2 linked regions of the Nothobranchius furzeri genome follow. The protein of the gene in region 1 purifies or fractionates together with the protein of each later gene. This does not show direct contact. Links are inferred from orthologs where the notes say so. Each region holds a gene or a part of one and is shown on either strand. Other genes may lie near its edges. The genes, in order: tdrd3 and fmr1.

The links.
Region 2: the proteins of tdrd3 (region 1) and fmr1 purify together in Homo sapiens (affinity purification with mass spectrometry; 4 studies listed by BioGRID and IntAct, with this or other methods). This does not show direct contact. The link is inferred for Nothobranchius furzeri from reciprocal best matches to the Homo sapiens genes TDRD3 and FMR1.

The regions. Positions count from the first base shown.
Region 1 is NC_091749.1:38,763,089-38,772,383, forward strand, and holds the start of tdrd3 (tudor domain-containing protein 3), read left to right. Parts: upstream 1-3,703; 5' UTR 3,704-3,841; coding exon 3,842-3,879; intron 3,880-5,241; coding exon 5,242-5,326; intron 5,327-7,745; coding exon 7,746-7,811; intron 7,812-8,226; coding exon 8,227-8,387; intron 8,388-9,295. UniProt on the Homo sapiens protein: Scaffolding protein that specifically recognizes and binds dimethylarginine-containing proteins. Plays a role in the regulation of translation of target mRNAs by binding Arg/Gly-rich motifs (GAR) in dimethylarginine-containing proteins.
Region 2 is NC_091741.1:30,650,311-30,659,591, reverse strand, and holds the start of fmr1 (fragile X messenger ribonucleoprotein 1), read left to right. Parts: upstream 1-3,081; 5' UTR 3,082-3,960; coding exon 3,961-4,011; intron 4,012-9,281.

The sequences.
Region 1 (9,295 bases):
TATGGCCTTTTGTGTCTGTGGTTGTATCCGGTACAAAACAGTTCATCCTCATATCAAAGCTTTGTTAGTTATACAAAACAAACAAACTGGAAAGCTTTGTTTGGTTTTGAAAAACAAAGAGAAAGTCTCTGGCCTAATTAAGGAAACGTCATGCTCATCACGGAGCTTCATTACCTGTGTGGTCCTTTACTGATGCTGGGGTTCAGAATAAGAACCGTTCTAAGTGAGCAAATACTGCCATCATGTGGACCTTGGTAATACATCACCACCAGATTACAGGACTGGTATTTTTATTTGAGTTTTTGCCATTAGCATGGACAATACCTTCAAATTTTAACTGCTTCTGCTAGAATATATTCTCTTAAACAAAAATAATATTATTTAGATTTTCATATTTAACTAAAAGCTTTCTCAATGTCTCTAATTAAAACTGATCACGTCACAATTATATTATCCTTCATCCAAAAGCAGGATTTACTGGCTGTAAAAGCCACTGACACTAGTCAGTGACTCGATGCTATCTGCTGGGTTCCTTAAAAGACATTTAAACTAGTTGGCTTAATAAACTGAACTTTACTGGAATGTTTTACTTCATGCCATGACTGTTGCCGTGATTTTGCACTACATAAATAAATTGAATTGAAATACTTCTTTTAACTTTGCAACTTTTAAAAATACATTTATTGTCTCGCTTCCAATCAATCAATCAATCAATCAATCAATCAATCAATCAATCAATCAATCAATCAATCAATCAATCAATCAATCACTCAATCAATCAATCAATCAATCAATCAGTCAATCAATCAATCAATCTCACTTTCATGCCTGTTGCTGCTGGAAGTCCCACTGAATTAATTATAAGCACTATGACACAGTCATAAATATTAGAGGTTTGCTGGTGGGGCTGTGGAATTAATACCAGGACTATGAGTTCTAGTGAACATGTATTTAGGTGCACAACAATACAAATTAGAAAATAAAACACAGCAAAATCAATTACAGATCATCAATATAAACCTAGTTAACACAATAGGACATGGGGCAGCAGTAGCTCAACAAGTTGAACGGGTTGTTCAGTAATCGGAAGGTTGTCGGAAGATCTTTGTCTCCCCTCTCCCTGCCACACCTGGTGTGGAGTGCGGTGCCTTGGTCTGCCTGGGTCGTGGCTCCCGGGTCAGGGAGTTTAAGATTTTTGGCATCTGCCTGACCAATCCCGGTGGCTGCCTGGTGGGGTCTGGGTCCCTGGGCTCAGCTTCGGACGGAGAATTCTGCTGTTGTGTCCTTGGGCAAGACACCTAACCCACCTCGCCTGCTGGTGGTCTGAGGGACCAGTGGTGCCTGTGCTTGGCAGCCTCACCTCCATCAGTGAGCCCCAGGGCAGCTGTGGCTACATCGTAGCTCATCCCTGCCAGTGTGTGAATGGATGAATGATGCACTGTAGTGTAAAGCACTTTGGAGTCATCTGACTCTGAAAGGTACTAGACAAGTTTATGTCATTTCTCATTTATCATGATTATTGAACAAATATTTAGTCCAATTCCTTTCCTGTTATTATTCTGCAGCTGAAACTCCTCTGTGGAAATGCGACATGAAGTTTATGACACAAATAATAAACTTTCTGATGCTAAATGAAGGAGAAGAAAGGTTTGCTACTAATGATTCTCTTGTTTCTCTTGTTCTGCTTTAAATATCTCAACAATATTTGTGCAGCATGAAATTTTAATTAGGGCCCCTGATTTAAGCACAAAATGTTTATTTTTAAACAAATATTCTAGTTGGTGATCACTAATATTATAAATAGTTATGCATCCTATGGACTTCTCATTTAGTGCTGTGCTTCTTTTATTTGTAGCTACAGTATTTTAATATGCCAAGCTGTTTGGCAACAGTAATTGTCTATGACAGGTGCCATGTTAAACTGTACTGTGGATATGTCTACATTCTGGCATGGAGATCATTTTGGATTTCAGTATAAGTGGATCTGAGTAAAACGACTGTGGATTCTTTGCAACACTGGACAGACTGATGAGAAAAGCTGGTTTGGTGGTGGACACGGAGAGGAGAGAAGCATGAAGAAACTGGTGGCTGTAATGGGCCGCACCCAGCATCTTCTGCTCAACACTATCATCAGGCAGACAAAAATGGTCAGTAACTGCCTCCTGCAGCAACATCCAACAGAATGACTCAGACCTCATCTGTTCCACTGTCTGTTAGGCTGTTGAGCTCCTCTCAGTTGAAAGAGAAAAGACACAAATGAAATGTCAATCAAATCACATCTCTAAGTGCAACAATTAACTTTGACACAGACTCTGTTTGATGTGCGTTTTAATTTATTTTTAATAAAGATTGTCAGTGTCTTCCTTCAGTCACCACTTTTACATTACAGTTTTTCTCCACTGGTTTGGCTCATTTCTTGAAACAGAAATTACATTCTCAAAATAACATGGACAAACCTCCAAACCTTTTGGCAAATGTTCACAACAGAATGGCATTTTGGGGACACTGACTATTCAGATTAGAAAGAAATGTAGTTTTGACACACGAGTGAGCTGTTTTAGGGGAGATATGAGCTTTTGCAGGTAAACCACGCTGTTATGATCAACTATCCATGTTTATTTTGACAAAAGCACCAAGAAGGATGAGAATGTCCGATTTGTGTCGAGAAATGAGCCAAAGCTATTGAGAGGGATCTTTGCCATTTTGGAGACACTGTTTAACCCTCCCACTGTCCTAATGGGTGTGACCCCGCGAGGAAAGTTAACCATTGGGCAGGGTTGATGGTTTATCCCTTGGGTCCATGTGGCAGGGGTGAGGAGTGAGCACCACCTCACCCCTGCCACATGGACCTCAAGGGATAAACCATCAATCCTGCTCTATGGTCAACTTTCCTCGCAGGGTCACCCATAAATACAGTGGGAGGGTTAAATGAGAAAGGGGTTTAGATTGAAGCCTGAGTGAACAGTTTTGAAAGAGATATGAGCTTTTGCAGGTGTTGTGCTAAACTGTAAGAGTGTTTTGCCAAATGATTTTAGAGGTTTGAGAATGAAATTTTTGTTTCAAGAAATGAGCCAAACCAATGGAGAAAACTGCAATATGCAGCCTATTTCAACTGCTTATAAAAATAAACTTCAGTCAAGCAATAATTATAAATACATTTCCCTTAAGTTACTATAGTCATTACTATTACTGCAAAGCCTCTTTCAGGGCTGCATACTTTTGCAATATATATATATATATTAGAGAAAGTCCAGTTGCCCTATCGATCGATCGATCGATCGATAGATAGATAGATAGATAGATAGATAGATAGATAGATAGATAGATAGATAGATGATAGATAGATAGATAGATAGATAGATAGATAGATAGATAGATAGATAGATAGATAGATAGATAGATAGATAGATAGATAGATGATAGATAGATAGATACATTATGTAGGATTTTAATCTTTTTAATTGAGTTCATATGTCATTTCATATGGATGCTGTACCAACGCGTCAGGATGGAAATAAAAAATATTTGTCAATTGTTACTTTTAAAATAATTGTCTTTATGGATGTGTTTGTATTTTTGTTGATTATAAAGCACTTTTAACCATTAGAATTACAGTAAAATCGATTGTGTGGAAATTAAATGTATTTTGACCTTCTCGGCACGCCGTACTCGTACAATGCGTCTCAGTTGGTGACGTAATTACGGTTGGGTCATTCAGAGTTCCCATTAACGAGCTTTGTTTGCAGGATAATATGCATTGTAGCATCAGATAATCGTTCTTGAGGTGGTCCCCTTATAAACCGACGATTGTGTTTATTCACACATCTTCGACTGGACGAAAATGACCGATCTAGCAGAGTCCCTGATCAAAGAGGGCTGGTAGGTAGCATGGTAGCTCAATGGTGCTGCTAGCCGTCTGAGCTGTCAGTTAACTGTTGAATAAAATAATTAGTCGTCACGTTGCCCTTTTTAATACTTGAGAATAAACAGCAACACTCGGAACTGCTCGACTTGTAGCAACATAGTTGGAAAGCTACACGACTACCAGAAACCACACGTCTGCTAGCTGGTTTAACTTAGCAGACGTAGCATTTGAAAGCAGACAGACGTTACTTCGTGCGTCAGACAAGAATCCGTAATAGCGTGCAGGTTCGGTCACTGATACCCGATGGCACTTGTTCAAAACCTGAACAAACAGCTCGTTTTCCAAGTGCTTTTGAAACGACGACTAACAGTGCTGCTGACTTTAATTTCTGGTTATTCTTTTAGAAATTTCAACAATCCAACGAGGCAATTACAGTTTTATTAAATTGATATGTTGTGGTTGGTCAAAATGTATTTATTTCCCTCAGAAATGCATTCATTTAGCATGAATATATCAGTTTCATGTTGTAGTGAAATTCTGCGGGAGTACATCTGAGAGACAAATGTGTTTTGAACCATTTCAGACGCAGGTGCATATTTAACACCTTTTACAACAAACAACACTAATAAAATTCCCAGTTGCAGAAATGTTTGGCTTCGCTTAATTTCACAGTCGGTGTTACTTTTGTAATGTTGCTGATAATAATAATAATAATAATAATGCAAAATGTAATCAATATTAGACTACAAAAAGTTCTAACTCCAAAATATTGATCAGATTGAACCAGAGTGTTTGTTTACATTATGTTCTCTGCAGTGTGCTTTTGTTTATGTTGTTTTACCTGAGCGTTTTGTGCAGGACTTTTAATTGTATTGACTATTTTTTTATTTGAGTTTTAACGTAATTAAAGTGATACATTAAATGTATGCACTAGAGAAAAAAATCTGTTTATGCTTTAGTGGATCTATGAAACTTGTAGACTTTGCCCTCTTTAGTTATTTTGTGAAACGTTATAAAGTTCTTAAGTCTTTTAATTTAGCAAAATAAAGCTGCATTTAGTGTTGTAACCATGTAAAATTAAATTGTAAGACTTTTCTAAATAAGAGGATGCTGCACAACTGAACTCTACGCAAAGTTGACTTTCTCTTACTTTTCAAGTCTGATTGCCTAATTAGTGCATCATATCAAACACTCTTTTTTTGCTCGTATCAGTAAATTTAGGAGGAAAGTCAATAATTTACAATAACAGCTGGAGATTTAACCCCCACTGGGTTTCAGAATATTTTAAACAATGTCTTCTGCATGAAAGACTTGCTCTCCTGCTGGCTCACCTTACTCAGCATTATTTCCTCTTCTCCTTGTGTCATATCTCACAGGTACCTCAGTGATGACGGCATAGCAGAACTGAAGGGATCGGCTGAGAAAATAACACACACTGACATCATTCGTATTGCACTCAATGTAAGTTGTATTCTCTTAGTGTTTTTGTGGTGTGACAGTAGTCTGGGTAGGAAAATGGATGTGAAAAGCATTTTAAAGGTTAATGGAAAAGGTCACATTTTTTTGCATCAGTTATCCAAGAGTCAGCATGTTTGCTGTCATCTTTTGCTTAGCATGAATTTATAAGTCATTTTTTGAAAAACTGCCTTGATTCTATCATCTTCAGTTGCTTCAGGTGCATTTCTCCATCATTCATTCATTCTTTGGTCTGTTTGTCTGATGCCTTCCTGACACAATATCTGGAATGAAAATGAAACTTTTAAAGTTGTGGAACACTGATAAACCCTCTCTACTAGGGATGAGCGGATAAAGCATTTTTGACGAATACGAGCATGAAGTGACTAAAACTCATAAATATCTGTAATCGTGCTGAAGGAAAATCCTCATTGGGTATCTGACTGCCTTCACGCTCTGTGATTGGCCAGTCACATAGAGCGCTCGCCCCTCCCTACACACAAAACTCTGCAGTCGGGAGCTCAGTCCGCGTCCGGCTTATCCACGCACACACACAGACAGTAACAGATCTCTCTGTGCTTGCTTCACTGTTGCTCACATTTCTTCAGTACTCCCTAGGTTTTCCTCAGCTCGCTTTTTTCAGTTTAATATTTAAAGTTACTTTTTTTTGTAACTTACATGGTGCATTTGACAAGACAGAGCTGAAAAACAGCTCGTGCTGCGTCGGTCACTGCCTCCGCTCTGCTCGGGGCTTTTTTGTTTTATTTTTCTCTCTCTCTCTCTCTCTCTCTCTCTCTCTCTCTCTCTCTCTCTCTCTCTCTCTCTCTCTCTCTCTCTCTCTCTCTCTCTCTCTCTCTCAATTAATGCTCATAAATAATGTTCTGATTTTATTGAAAAACTTGTTCTGTAATAGTTTCTTTACTATTGTGATCAAAAATATGTAATCTCAATTCTGAGGCTGCTCTGTAAATAGTGTTTATATAAACAATACACATAGCAACTTCTGATCAGTCCATATCAGTTTCAGACTTAAAATAATGTATTGATGTAAACCACACCTACTCCCGGTTAAACTGCACACACTTCCAGGTTAGGCCACGCCCACTCCAAATACAGATAATTTAGATGATTGAACAGATACAGATACAGATAGTGGTGTACTTGCTCATCCCTACTCTTTACTTGTTATTTCTGATTATAAGCAGTCCCTGTTGAGGTGTTCATGCAGGCTGAACATGTATATAGTCTCCTACACCTGTCTCCTGCATTATCTTCTGGTAGAAATTAGATGGTGAAACTCTAGGATTTGAAAATCCTAACAGGTCTATATCACACTGTCACTTAACATTCATGGACTCACCCATGTTGACTTGTGATGGGGGAGACTGTTGTTGGTGTTAGCATCCAGCAGAGAACATCTCGGCTAGTAGAAGCTAACCACATTAGTAAATCCACCACACAGTAGAACTCCTTCAGGCTTGAGTTATTTGTGGAGATCAAACATCAACGTTGCAGAGCAAGCAGAGTTGGTGGTAGAGTTGCATTGTTGTTAGCCAGTCAGAAGTGACATATCCAAATATCAGGAAGCAAGACTCCAAATCCTGCCTTGTTAAGCTCTCCTCTGACGTGGCATTCTGCTCGTTCCCAAAACAGGCGCATCTGTGCTTTTCTTCCCCTGAGTACGACTTGCAAGGCATTCATTCCTACTAGAGACCACTGTAAATGTATTGATTAAAGTGTCCCACACTTTTAAGGATAAAATTATTCAACCATCACAATTGTTAAATTACAGCTGTGTGTTCTCGAAACAGCAGCTGCATAAATACATAAAAGGACACTATCATTGTTCATAGGATCTCAAGTTTTTTAAATACTTCACAAAAGGAAAATTACAAAGGCGGCTTATCTGACCCACAGTATCAGATGAGTACAGAACACAGGAGCTGCATTCACAGCAGAAGCCTTGACCTTTTCAGGTTGGCCTGGAGCACTGCCAAAAGATCTGAGACGGCACTTGGACACATCACAGTGCACCTGATTCATTCGGCATGTTTTAACTTCAGGGCAGAGCTTAGAGGGCCATAAAATGGGGGTTGGTTTTACCGGAATATGCAATTAAAGAGTTTTAAGTAATTATTTAAATGTGAAAACAAACCAAATTCCTGACATCTTTCTATTATTAATTGTTGATAAATTGTACCTAGAAGGAGCCTTCTTTTTATTGTAACCAATGTCAGAACATGCCTCAGTATGATGCACAGGTCTGTAACTAAATCTGTTAAATCATTGTCATTAGATGCTCACCAAAAAGGGCCGTGTTAATTATTAAACTTTCAGTGCTTCATAATCAGCCTTTTTCCTGCTTTACTCTTACTATGACTTGTGTAATAACTGTTTTTGTTACGATGATGTGTGTTTCTTGCAGAATGATCTTAGGCCTATTGGGAGAAAATTTCTACCTTCTGATATCAACAGTGGAAGAACTGAGAAAGTAAGTGGAACAGAAATTCACAGGTTTCCTGCTAAGTGGTGAAGCACTACTGCCCTTGTTTTATGTCAGAAAGTGTTTGGAAAATGCTTGTAAATGAGTAGCTGCGGTGCAGTTCTCAGGGAAGCCACTAGATGGCGGAGACACACCAACAATATTGTGTTTAAGTTTTTTTTTTTTTTTTTGTGAAACTTAGAAAATGTTTTAGTTTTTAAAACATTGAATATTGACCCTTCTCCTTAAAAGGCTCTTAAATAAAAATAAAGCAATGTAAATTCAAATGGAAGAATGAACAAACCAGTTCTATTATAAGCTGAAAATAAAAGTCTCAAAGCCATTTAATTTCCATATCTGTTATTATCTTCAGTGCTTTGCAGCAGATTTGCCTCTCAGACCAATTTTCTTTGTTCTCTTCCAGTTGGAGGGTCCATGCGTCCTCCAGGTGCAGAAGGTGAGAAACATCTCTGCTCCTAAAGACCACGAGGAGTCCCAGGGTGCACCGCGAATGCTGCGCCTACAGATGACAGATGGGCACACCACCTGTGTTGGATTAGAGTATAAACATCTGTCCAAGATCAGGTATGGGGGCCGGGGGGGGGGGGGGGGGGGGGGGGGGGGTCAAACCAACAGATGCAGTTTAATGTGATTGTTTTGTACGTTAATATTGGCTAGTCAGATTTGCTTAGGTAAAAGTGCCACTTTTTCCCCCTTTGTGTGTGTGCGTGCATGTGTGTGTGTGTGTGTGTGCGTGTGTTTGTGCTCGTGTACTCTAATATACCAGCAACAGTGGGAAAAAAAATGCAACAATGACTAAATATCACAGTTCAGAAATTATGGATAAATTATAAAACTGTAAAGTTTTGAAAACAATAAATAAAAAATAAACTAAACAGCATTTTCTGTAGCAGTCTAAATGCAGAACAGCATGCATTTGGCCCTATCGTCACCCATTCAAAGCTAACATGTACGATTCTGTGCACACACGCTCCTCCTTCACCTCCTTGTCAACACTCTCACCCCACCACATGTCTGAATTTTTGCCTTTATCTGCAATTTCCACTTGGTGGCAGCTGATTTAACGACTTGCAGCCTTAATTACTTCTGCGTCCAAGCAACGGTGGCCTTGGTGATTGCTGCCATGGTGACGGACCAGTCTGTACAGGTGGAGTGGCCAGAAAATGGGCCTTTCCTTCCTGATGGGGGGAGAGTAGAGAACAGAACAGATCCCCTCTTTATGAGCGGCGCACACACTCTCTGGCAGCCAACAGCAGTAGTTAGTGTTTCTGATGGACGTGTTGGCTTTGGTGTGAGTGAGAACATAAGTGGGTGGCAAGGAAGGATGAGATGGATTACAAGACTGTTCACTATGTAAGGCAGTGATATAAAAAGGGGACAATTAAGCATTAAGTAGCATCGATTGAGGTTGAATAGTGTGTTTGTGTGTGATTGAATCAAGGATAGTTTGTTCCTTTTTGCTGGGTTGTCGG
Region 2 (9,281 bases), on another chromosome or scaffold:
TATGCATTATGGGGCTCCCAGGGGCAGATAAGAGTTGGTCTCTCCCCGAGAATAATTATGAATTTAACAATGATTACTGCCTGATGACATTTTCCCACATCTGCAAAGCTCACTGGAAGGACACAAACCGAGGACAATATTCTCCTGATATAGGGTTTGTTACTCAAGTAAGGGTAAAAAAGTATCTGATTAGAAGGCTACTTGAGTACTGAGTATCATCTGATCTAATATTTTTAAATGATGACATCAAACAGACATAAAATAAGAAGTTATGGGCAAATATTGGTATTTTAAAGACTAAAGGGAAAAAATGTAAACAAATAAACAACATAATTACAAAATAACACATTTTAGGCTAAATTTAGACACAAACTGAGGACAATATTTCCTGACATACAGGGTTTATATAATTGTGTGAAAATGTAGCACGTTTAAAAAAAATACCACAATAATACCAAAAACCGTGGTAATTTTGGTCACAATAACCGTGAGGTTATATTTTCACACCGTGACAACCCTAATACAGACCATTTTAGATTAGGTTACATTTCCTTTATTCCCAGATCATGTAGTTTGTAGCACTCATTATAATGTTGTAGAAAATTTCTGGCCAATCCACGTGATCGTGATCGGTATCGGTGATCAGCATTCTTTGATATCGGTATCGGTGATCGGCAGCAAAAAACCTGATCGGTGCATCCCTAGTAATGATCTGGGTCATTTCAGCTTTCTATCAGATCTATTGAGACATTCTATAAATTTTAAGTAGGTCAAAATTGTTTGTTCTTTCTACAGTCAGTTTAGGTAAAAAAAATCAAGATCTTCATATATTTTCACATAGAATGCATGTGGGAAAAGCCACATTGCTCACACAAAAGGGAGCCTAAGTCATGCCCATCTACTTCTGGACCAGACCCCAGAAGAGCAAAAAAATGAATGCAAGTCAACAGGGCTAAATCCGTTATTTTCTAATCCCATTTGTTACGTGCCACGGATTTCACATATGATGCCTGTACATTTTAAAGATTTATTTTGATGCCAACAATGCCCTTATTTTAGGTTTTGGGTGAAAATATGTCCAGGACTACAAATGCGCATCACCGTCATCATCGAACCAGACATGGAGAAAAGCAAAGGGAAAATGGTTGTGAGTTTAACGAACCTTGAATCCTTCCTTCATGAGGAAACCACCATGAATCCCGCCATTTTTGCAGCTAGATCTTCTCGGAGATACTGTGGTGACGCCATATACGCAACGTACCAACGTCTGATGTTAATTACAAATTTTTACAAGCTGATAAGTCTCAAAGTGCGTGACTGGCATGGTCAAAACACACATCATTAGTTCTCACTTAAATTGAAGTACAACATACGGGCGATTCAGGGCGTAAGGCAAAGCAGATTAGAAAATGGCTCTTTCAGCCCCTTGACTTGCATTCATTTTCAACCCGGGCTGCTGCCAGCGACAAAACCGGAGCTAGGATCCAGCAAACAATTACAAAATCATTTAGCACAAGTTTGGTGTAATATTGTGCTGCACAAATAAAGACAGTCACAGCTGGGATAAAACGTTCTCAGCACGAGCTGCAGGTCTATGAAGAGCTAAATCACTCCTCTAGAATTTATCTTGGTAACCAAATTTCCAAAACAGGATATTTATAACACACTTAATTTGTTCTGTATAAGTAAATTATAAGTATATTTTCTTTTTGAAGTTAAAACTTTGGGAGACTCCAAGATTCTTCTATTTTAAATGAGCAGTGGTGACTCAGGGGGTTAGGAATTCATCCTGGAGTTGCTGCAGGTTCTAAACCAGGCTGCTTGAGCGAGACACTTCTCCATCCGTGCCTGCTTATGGCGGTCGGAGGGACCGGTGACGTCTTGTTTTATTTGAACAAGGACAACACAGAAAATAGTGTTTTATTATTTTATTATTACCATTGCTATTCTTTGCACAAAATAATTTTTAAAAGGAAAAATCTAGTTTGCACTGACTGGTTAGGCATTAAAACAGGTACTGTAAAGCTCATTTAACTTTGATTTAAAAATAAAACCAAGGAAATTGAGTTTTCACTACTTGAAAAAGATATTTAGGAGCCTAAGCCAAAGACAACAGACAGTTTTAATGCATGTGGCTGCACACTGAAAATTAATAAAATAAATACCTCTGTGCAGAGTTGGTTACAAAAGCCAACAAAACATTAGGATTCAAATGTGTTTAACTTTCACTCCATCCATCCATCCATCCATCCATCCATTGTCTGAATCCGCTTTGTCCACGTAGGGTCAGTGCCCATCTCCAGCGGTCAATGGGCAATCAGGCAGGGTACACCCTGGACAGAGAGCCAGTCCATCGCAGGGTAACACACACACACACACACACACACACACACACACACACACACACACACACACACACACACACACACACCTAAGGACAATTTAAACAGACCAATCAACCTAACAGTCATGTTTTTGGACTGTGGGAGGAAGCCGGAGAACCCGGAGAGAACCCACGCATGCACAGGGAGAACATGCAAACTCCATGCAGAAAGATCCCAGGCCGGGAATCGAACCCAGGACCTTCTTGCACCAAGGCAACAGCTCTTCCTCCTTCCCTTTCTTCCAGTTGTTTATTTTATGTGTAAATTGGTTGTGTCTTGCTTTGAAAATGTTTGAGCTGTTTTAAACCTAACTAAATCTGGAAATTTCATTAATCCTGACTTCATAAAGAGTTAATGAGTGTGGGCTCTATATCCTGCTTGATTTATAAATCTAATAGACCTTTTTCAGCATTAAAATTAAAATGTAAAATGTTAATTGGTTGTAAATTTGTCTTGTGTGCATTCCCCCAGACTGTTGCACAGTACGTCGGGTATGATAATAGTAATGTACAATATAAAGTATGAAGATCTTTGCTGTTAAAACATCCTTTAGTTTTACCCAAAATGGCAAGCCAACTTCCTTTGTGGCAGTATATTTATTAAAAATGCTAATTTAAACGTTGGTTGATGCACGTAAGCACAAAGACTAGGAATTTTGTATTAATCCAAATGACGTCAAAGTTAAGATATTTCTACTACCCGCAGAGAGCAGAGAAACTCTCAGGTGAGAAGAAGAAAGCGAAGACGTGACGTAACAGAAGCGCGCAGATGAAGAATTATGGCTAAACAGTTTAGCATATAATATCTAGGTAGGCTCTTCAAAGCGGTATAAATAATTATTTTTATTTCCTTGTCAAAAATGAACACTACCAACTTTTTAGATATCACAAATTTCCAAAACAAAAAGTCATATACATCTAAAGTAACGTTGGCTATCCAAAAATTAAAGAAAAACTAAAAATATTTGAGGAAACACGGAATGTTCAGTATTACATTGTGACTAAATTTAGACGTCGATAACCAGATCAATGAAGAGCAAGTATGTAATAACAAATAGCCTACATACGAATCCAATTTAAAACGATTGATGTACTTTACTATAAAACAATTAAAATAATTATTACAGCCGAAATAGTCTGTCCTACTCAACAATTTTAATCCTTACAAGGTAAGAAATTGTTGTGTAGCACAGCTAAAGTCCATGTCCAAAACCAACTTAGATCTAGGTACGATTAAATGTGACAACGGCTTGCTGTACAAACCCACACTAATCACACATTACCGTAACAGGCTAATACAAGCTAACCTGGACAGTCTGTTGCCTTTGATTTTTCAAGCGGTCTAAATTTCACATTCGGAAGGAGCAGGACGAAATATTAAGACGCTGTGCAAAACGGGAATCAATATTACCGACGTTCGCGGGTACCTCGGCCTCTTCTTGCACGCAGCTCGCAGGAAGCGGTCTTTGGTTGAAAACTGATCTTGGCTAGCGTCAGGCTAGCCAGCCAGCTAGCTGGCTGCTAACGTCGCTAGCGGTAGTTAGCTAGCTAGCTAGTGAGCTGTAGTAAGTTGCGCCATGGAGGAGCTGGTTGTGGAAGTGAGAGGGACGAGTGGAGCCTTTTATAAGGTAAGTGGGCGAGTTAAGTGGAGCTTTCTGCTACCGCTCACTGTGCAAACAGCAGCCTAACTAACAACCAGGTTTACTGGGCATCTTGTGTGTGTACGGGCCTGCGTGTTCAGCCCCATCCAGGATGCGGAGGCTGGAAACAAATCCAAAAACAAAACCGTTGCCATCTCAGTGCTTTTAGTGAAATTAGTGACCGAGTCGGGATGCCACTGCAGGGCTGGCGTTTTCCTGCAATTGCTAAAATGTGTTTGTGGTGTGTTCCTGTTCAGTGATGGAGAGGAGTGGTCACTCACAAATGTTCACGATTCAACCCAAGAAAGTCCCAAATAAATACATCAGCGTCCAACTCTGGTTTTCAGATTTGTCCTCCCTCAGTGGACCGGCTGTTTCTATAAAGTCTGATTAGGTTTTGTTTTTAATATCCAAATATAGACGTTTGTATTTATTACATGACTTATGTCAATCAGTGATGGTACAAACACGTTGACACAGAAAGCTAACAGTAGCTCATAAACACGTTTAATGTGGAATAGGGGACAGTAGTACATATTCTACTACTGGAGTAGTGGGATCAAACAGTAATCATAATACTAAAGAACATCAGCTAGGTGCCAGCTAAATGAATAAGTGGTGTGGCTGACTGATGAATTTAGTAAATACAGTCATACAGGTTGGTACATGGGACTCATCTTGCTGAGTTTAATTCTAGTTGTAAGGAGACATATTATTGAACTTAGCTTTCATTTTTGCCTTTTTGTCTTGTCAAACCCAGCTCTTTTATAGAATTTGATCTAATTTTTTATAGAAGGTCTGGGTGTGGTGCTGCCTTAAAACAAAACCATACAATGGACACAAATGCTTCTGCCGCCAAGCTGTTTAGCAGGTTTCATTCTCTAAATGGTCTCACTTATTAAATGTTGTTGGATTTAAAATGCCTTGGAGAAGTTTGAATGTCTCTGCAGCTCTTGTTAAAGCCATACTTTGCAACTTTTTCATATTTTTAAATCATTTTCTTGAGCCAGTATGTGCTAAAATGACCCTTTACCCTTGCTGGGACTTAGAAAATAAAGCCTGGTGTGGCAGTCTGCTTCCAGCACATTACCTGCATGTTTTAGATCATGAACACAGCTGTTTTGTTTAATTTGGTGACGAATCACTCCTATAGACACTAACGAAGGCTGCGGAAACATTTCAGCTGTTAAGCCTGACCCCTTCTTTCCACCGGAGCCGTCAGCAGCACGTTACTGCAGCAGCACGTCTTGCTCGCGTAAGCTGCTGCTTGGCCCTTCCCACGAGACGCGAATCAGCAGGGGAGCAGCTGTCACCGACAGAGCTCGAAGTCACACGAGTGACTTCGTCAGTAAACACAACAACAAGCAGGAGAAAATTACAACATGGCTCCAAAAGGTTTGCGTTTTATGTTCTGTCCATTTTATAATCCAATACGGACCTGAAAAACAAAGGAGGCCGCTAGCTAGGTGATAACTTCTCACGGGGCCGCACAGTTAGTAACTATTTTTTAGAGTAAAGCAACCGGAAGGCAGGACATTTCTTTATTCTGAAAATCTCGGGAAGCTTCGCTCCGTTTTTGCGTCCGATTTCCTGTCTTTCCTTCCCCAAAAATGTCGAACTTGACCCGTTTCAGAGGCGTAGCGCGTAGAAAATAGAACCGGCGCGTAAAGGCCGCGGCATGCTGCTCCTGAGACGCGGCCGACTCGCGCTGCTGACGGCTCCGGTGGAAAGAAGGGGTCAGTCATGCTCCTGCGTCAGCTCCACAAGGGACAGACACGCACGGATTGACAGAAGCGTTTTGCTCTCATACGTCCTCGTTTGCTGAAGGGGTGTTGCAAAGCAATTCTCCGCCAGGACAACAGAGGGCGTAATGTAGGTAGCAGTACAGTGACATCGTAATATTTCCTTGGAAATCACTTCTGCGGTCTGAAAATGGCAAGCAACACGAGAAAGAGTAGTTTGATCGAGTTGGAACTGTGTAATCTAGATGAAGAAATGCTTATCTTGCTGAAATACCAGCGAGAGCATAAAAGGAGACACCACACAACTTCCCACGCGACTCTGGCACTGTTGACAAATTTAAAGGAAATGGCGTCATGACTGAAGTGATCTCAGGTTTCTGGACTGGCCAATCACAAGCGCCTGTTCTCCATCTCGTTCAACGGATGTTAAGAAAAGTGGGCTCGACTCCATACGTACTTACGTGCCTGTCGGGGGGGCCTACGCAAGAACAGATGATGGCGTTGAGTGTCTCCGCATTGACACAGAAGCAGAAGCATTACTCAGCCATTAGATTAAGGTGTTAAAAAGACAAACGCACAGCGAGGAGACAGGTTTCATTTTCACTTTGATCACAGAGAATTAATAACGGACACTAGGGGGTGCTAAAAGCAGCCAAAACTGCCAGTTGTTCCTTTAGGCCAGGGGTGTCAAACTCAAACTCACACGGGGCCGAAATGAAACTCTGGGACGGAGTCGAGGGCCAAACTTCATATTTTTTGAAAAAGTGACGCAAATTTGCACATTTTCTGTATCAACATATATGCAATTTTGAACCTTTAAATTAGGAAACAAACTTATTTCTGCATTAACACTGAATGTGGAATAACCAAATTACACACGAGCAAGTCCGTTTTAAATAAAAGGCATCAGTGGTATTCATTACTTGTGGTATAATCAGCATTTTTAAATCTATTCAGGATTTATGTTTTCTTGTTTATTCATTTTTCTTATTTTTTATTCTCCTTTTTTCTCCTGTAATACGTGTCATCGCTGCTGTGACGTCTAGCTTTCCCCACTGAGGAACAATAAAGGGATTTTCTATTCTAGTCATCTATCTGCAGCCTTTCCACTTCCTGTTTACTGTAGGTTAAATCTTTTCTCACGGGCCAACAACAAAATAAAAATATCATTTCATCTTAAATGAAAATGCAACATCTCACCTGTTAACTTTCATGTTTTGGAGCAGAAAAAGAGCATCAAACCAACATATTTAAAGCTCAGTTTGCTCCACTGGTTTACTGTGATGCTCACCTGTTCCAGCCAGATACCTGCATCATGGGGTTGATCTGAGCTGAGGAGGAGACTCCTGTTGTTTTGTTCATCTTCATCATAATAATGACAACATTAGATGACAACAGGTGCTCACATAGGTTTGTGCTGATGAACATGTCTGAGCTGCTTGACCGCGTTGTTGTGTGTCGGGGAGGAAACACAACCACAGAGTCGTGCTGGTTTGAGCGTGTCGCTGCTCGCTGGAGTTATATCAGCTCTGTCTGGACGTTAGTTGGAAAACTTTCTCTTTCAGTCGTGAACACATTACTGAGCGGCTAGAATCTCCGTTTCTGGGCTTCAACGTCAGAAAACAGCTGAGTGAACTCGGCGCTGAGTGAGAGGAGTGTTTAGTTTGTCCGAGACAGCGGAGCTGCAGACACCCAACTACCTCTGACTGCCTCGGCGCTGAAAAAACACAAAGGAGGGGGCGCGTCGGCTCCGCGCTGGCGCCGCAAAGCATCATGGGAGTTGTAGTCTTTGCGGTAAAATCGGCCAGTGGGCCAGTTTTAATATATTTTTGATATTTATCTCGCGGGCCGCCTTGACTCTGACATATGTGCTTTAGGCAGGTGAGGTACTCTGGGGCTCCCAGCCCTTGTCTTATTTTTAATCGAGTTTTTGGAGGTTGCTAGTTTGCTAACTTAGGTAAGTGGCTGGTGGGTATCTGGTTAACTTGGGTTTCTGGCTTTTATCAATGTTTTGGTTGGACTTTTGGGATTGAGTAGTGGTTTTTTATCTATATCTTGTATACTGCTTTTAAGTGTTTTGATTAACTTTTACAGCTATACTTTGTATTTCTGTGCTTTTCTTTATGTGCATTGATTGCTTTGGGCACTATTTGGGTCAGCTGCCTTGCTGTTTTATAAGTGCTTTATAAATAAACTTGGTGACAATAGATAATAGAAAATAAAAAAAATTTGCAGAGTTGAGTTATTATTACAGTAGCATATTGCTCAGAAAACATACAAATTAGTTGCCCACCATTTGAACCGTTGAGCGTTTTCTTAATTATGTAGCCTGTCAGTCAAAATTCGGGCAAAAAAGGTATTCTTATAATTTACAAACATTACCCCCTCCCCCCTCGCGCCCGCAGAGTAACGGTACAGCCCAAAGGTTTAGCTTCACTGCAGTGTTTTTATTTGATACCTCGCGGTGCTGCTGAAGGGCCGATGATGAGACAACACAAATCCGGAGCTGAGAAAAGAAAACAGATGACGCCCGTACATCCCTTGCTGGTAAGTTTGTCTTTATTAGCTACCTGGGCAGCCTGGCAGGTGAATTAGTTGGAGTCTGAGTTTCTGTGTTGAGGCTTGTAAATATCCCTGGCCAATCAAGCTTAGGGTCTCCAAAAGCCTAGCAGCGGCCCTGTCTCAGTGACACACTTTGCAGGGGGATTTGGCATTTAATTTTTCTTGGCGTCTGGAAAAACATCTTCTTTTTCCCCCTTTATTTGACTTTCTGCCCCCTGTATTCTGGTCCAAGACCATTACTGGGCTGGCCCTGTTAAAAACCCTCTACATCCCTGCTTAGTAGACTTAATGAAGTATTTTTAAGCAGTATAAAAATGACTGAAACACAAATTTACATATTTGGCATTAATGACCAATATCTTTGATTTAATTGTTAAGAACATCAAGATGCATTACAGTGAACATTATAATAAAGCAAACTTTTCTAGTGCAAAGAGGAGATGACCCATAGAAGCACTGATTTGATCTCATTTCAGAGAAAAATGGAACAGGTCAGATGCACCTAATAAATAAAATTACTAACAAACTCAGGAGTCTGTTTCTTTGCTTCACTGTTCTGGTGCTGAAAACATCACTAATGCGGATCAAAGGAGAAACACAGATGAATGCACCTTATTATTTGGAAATTAGTGGATGCTGTTTACATCAATACATTATTTTAAATCTGAAACTGATATGGATTGATTAGCTCTGGTGCTAAATCAGAGATGGCTTCGGTGCTAAGTGGATCAGCGTTTCCTGTCCATGAAACACAAGCCTACAACAGTGACAAAACACATTCAGATGAACACACAAATGTTATAAAATGACACTCTTACGTCTAGGAGTTTACAGTAGTTGAAAGCAAACGCTTGATGATACTGACTTGGTAACCAAATAGTTTGTCACTTCGTCCCCTCCGGAGAGGAAGTTACGAAGAGGCACTCTTCAAAATAAAACCTTCCCTTGCCGTCA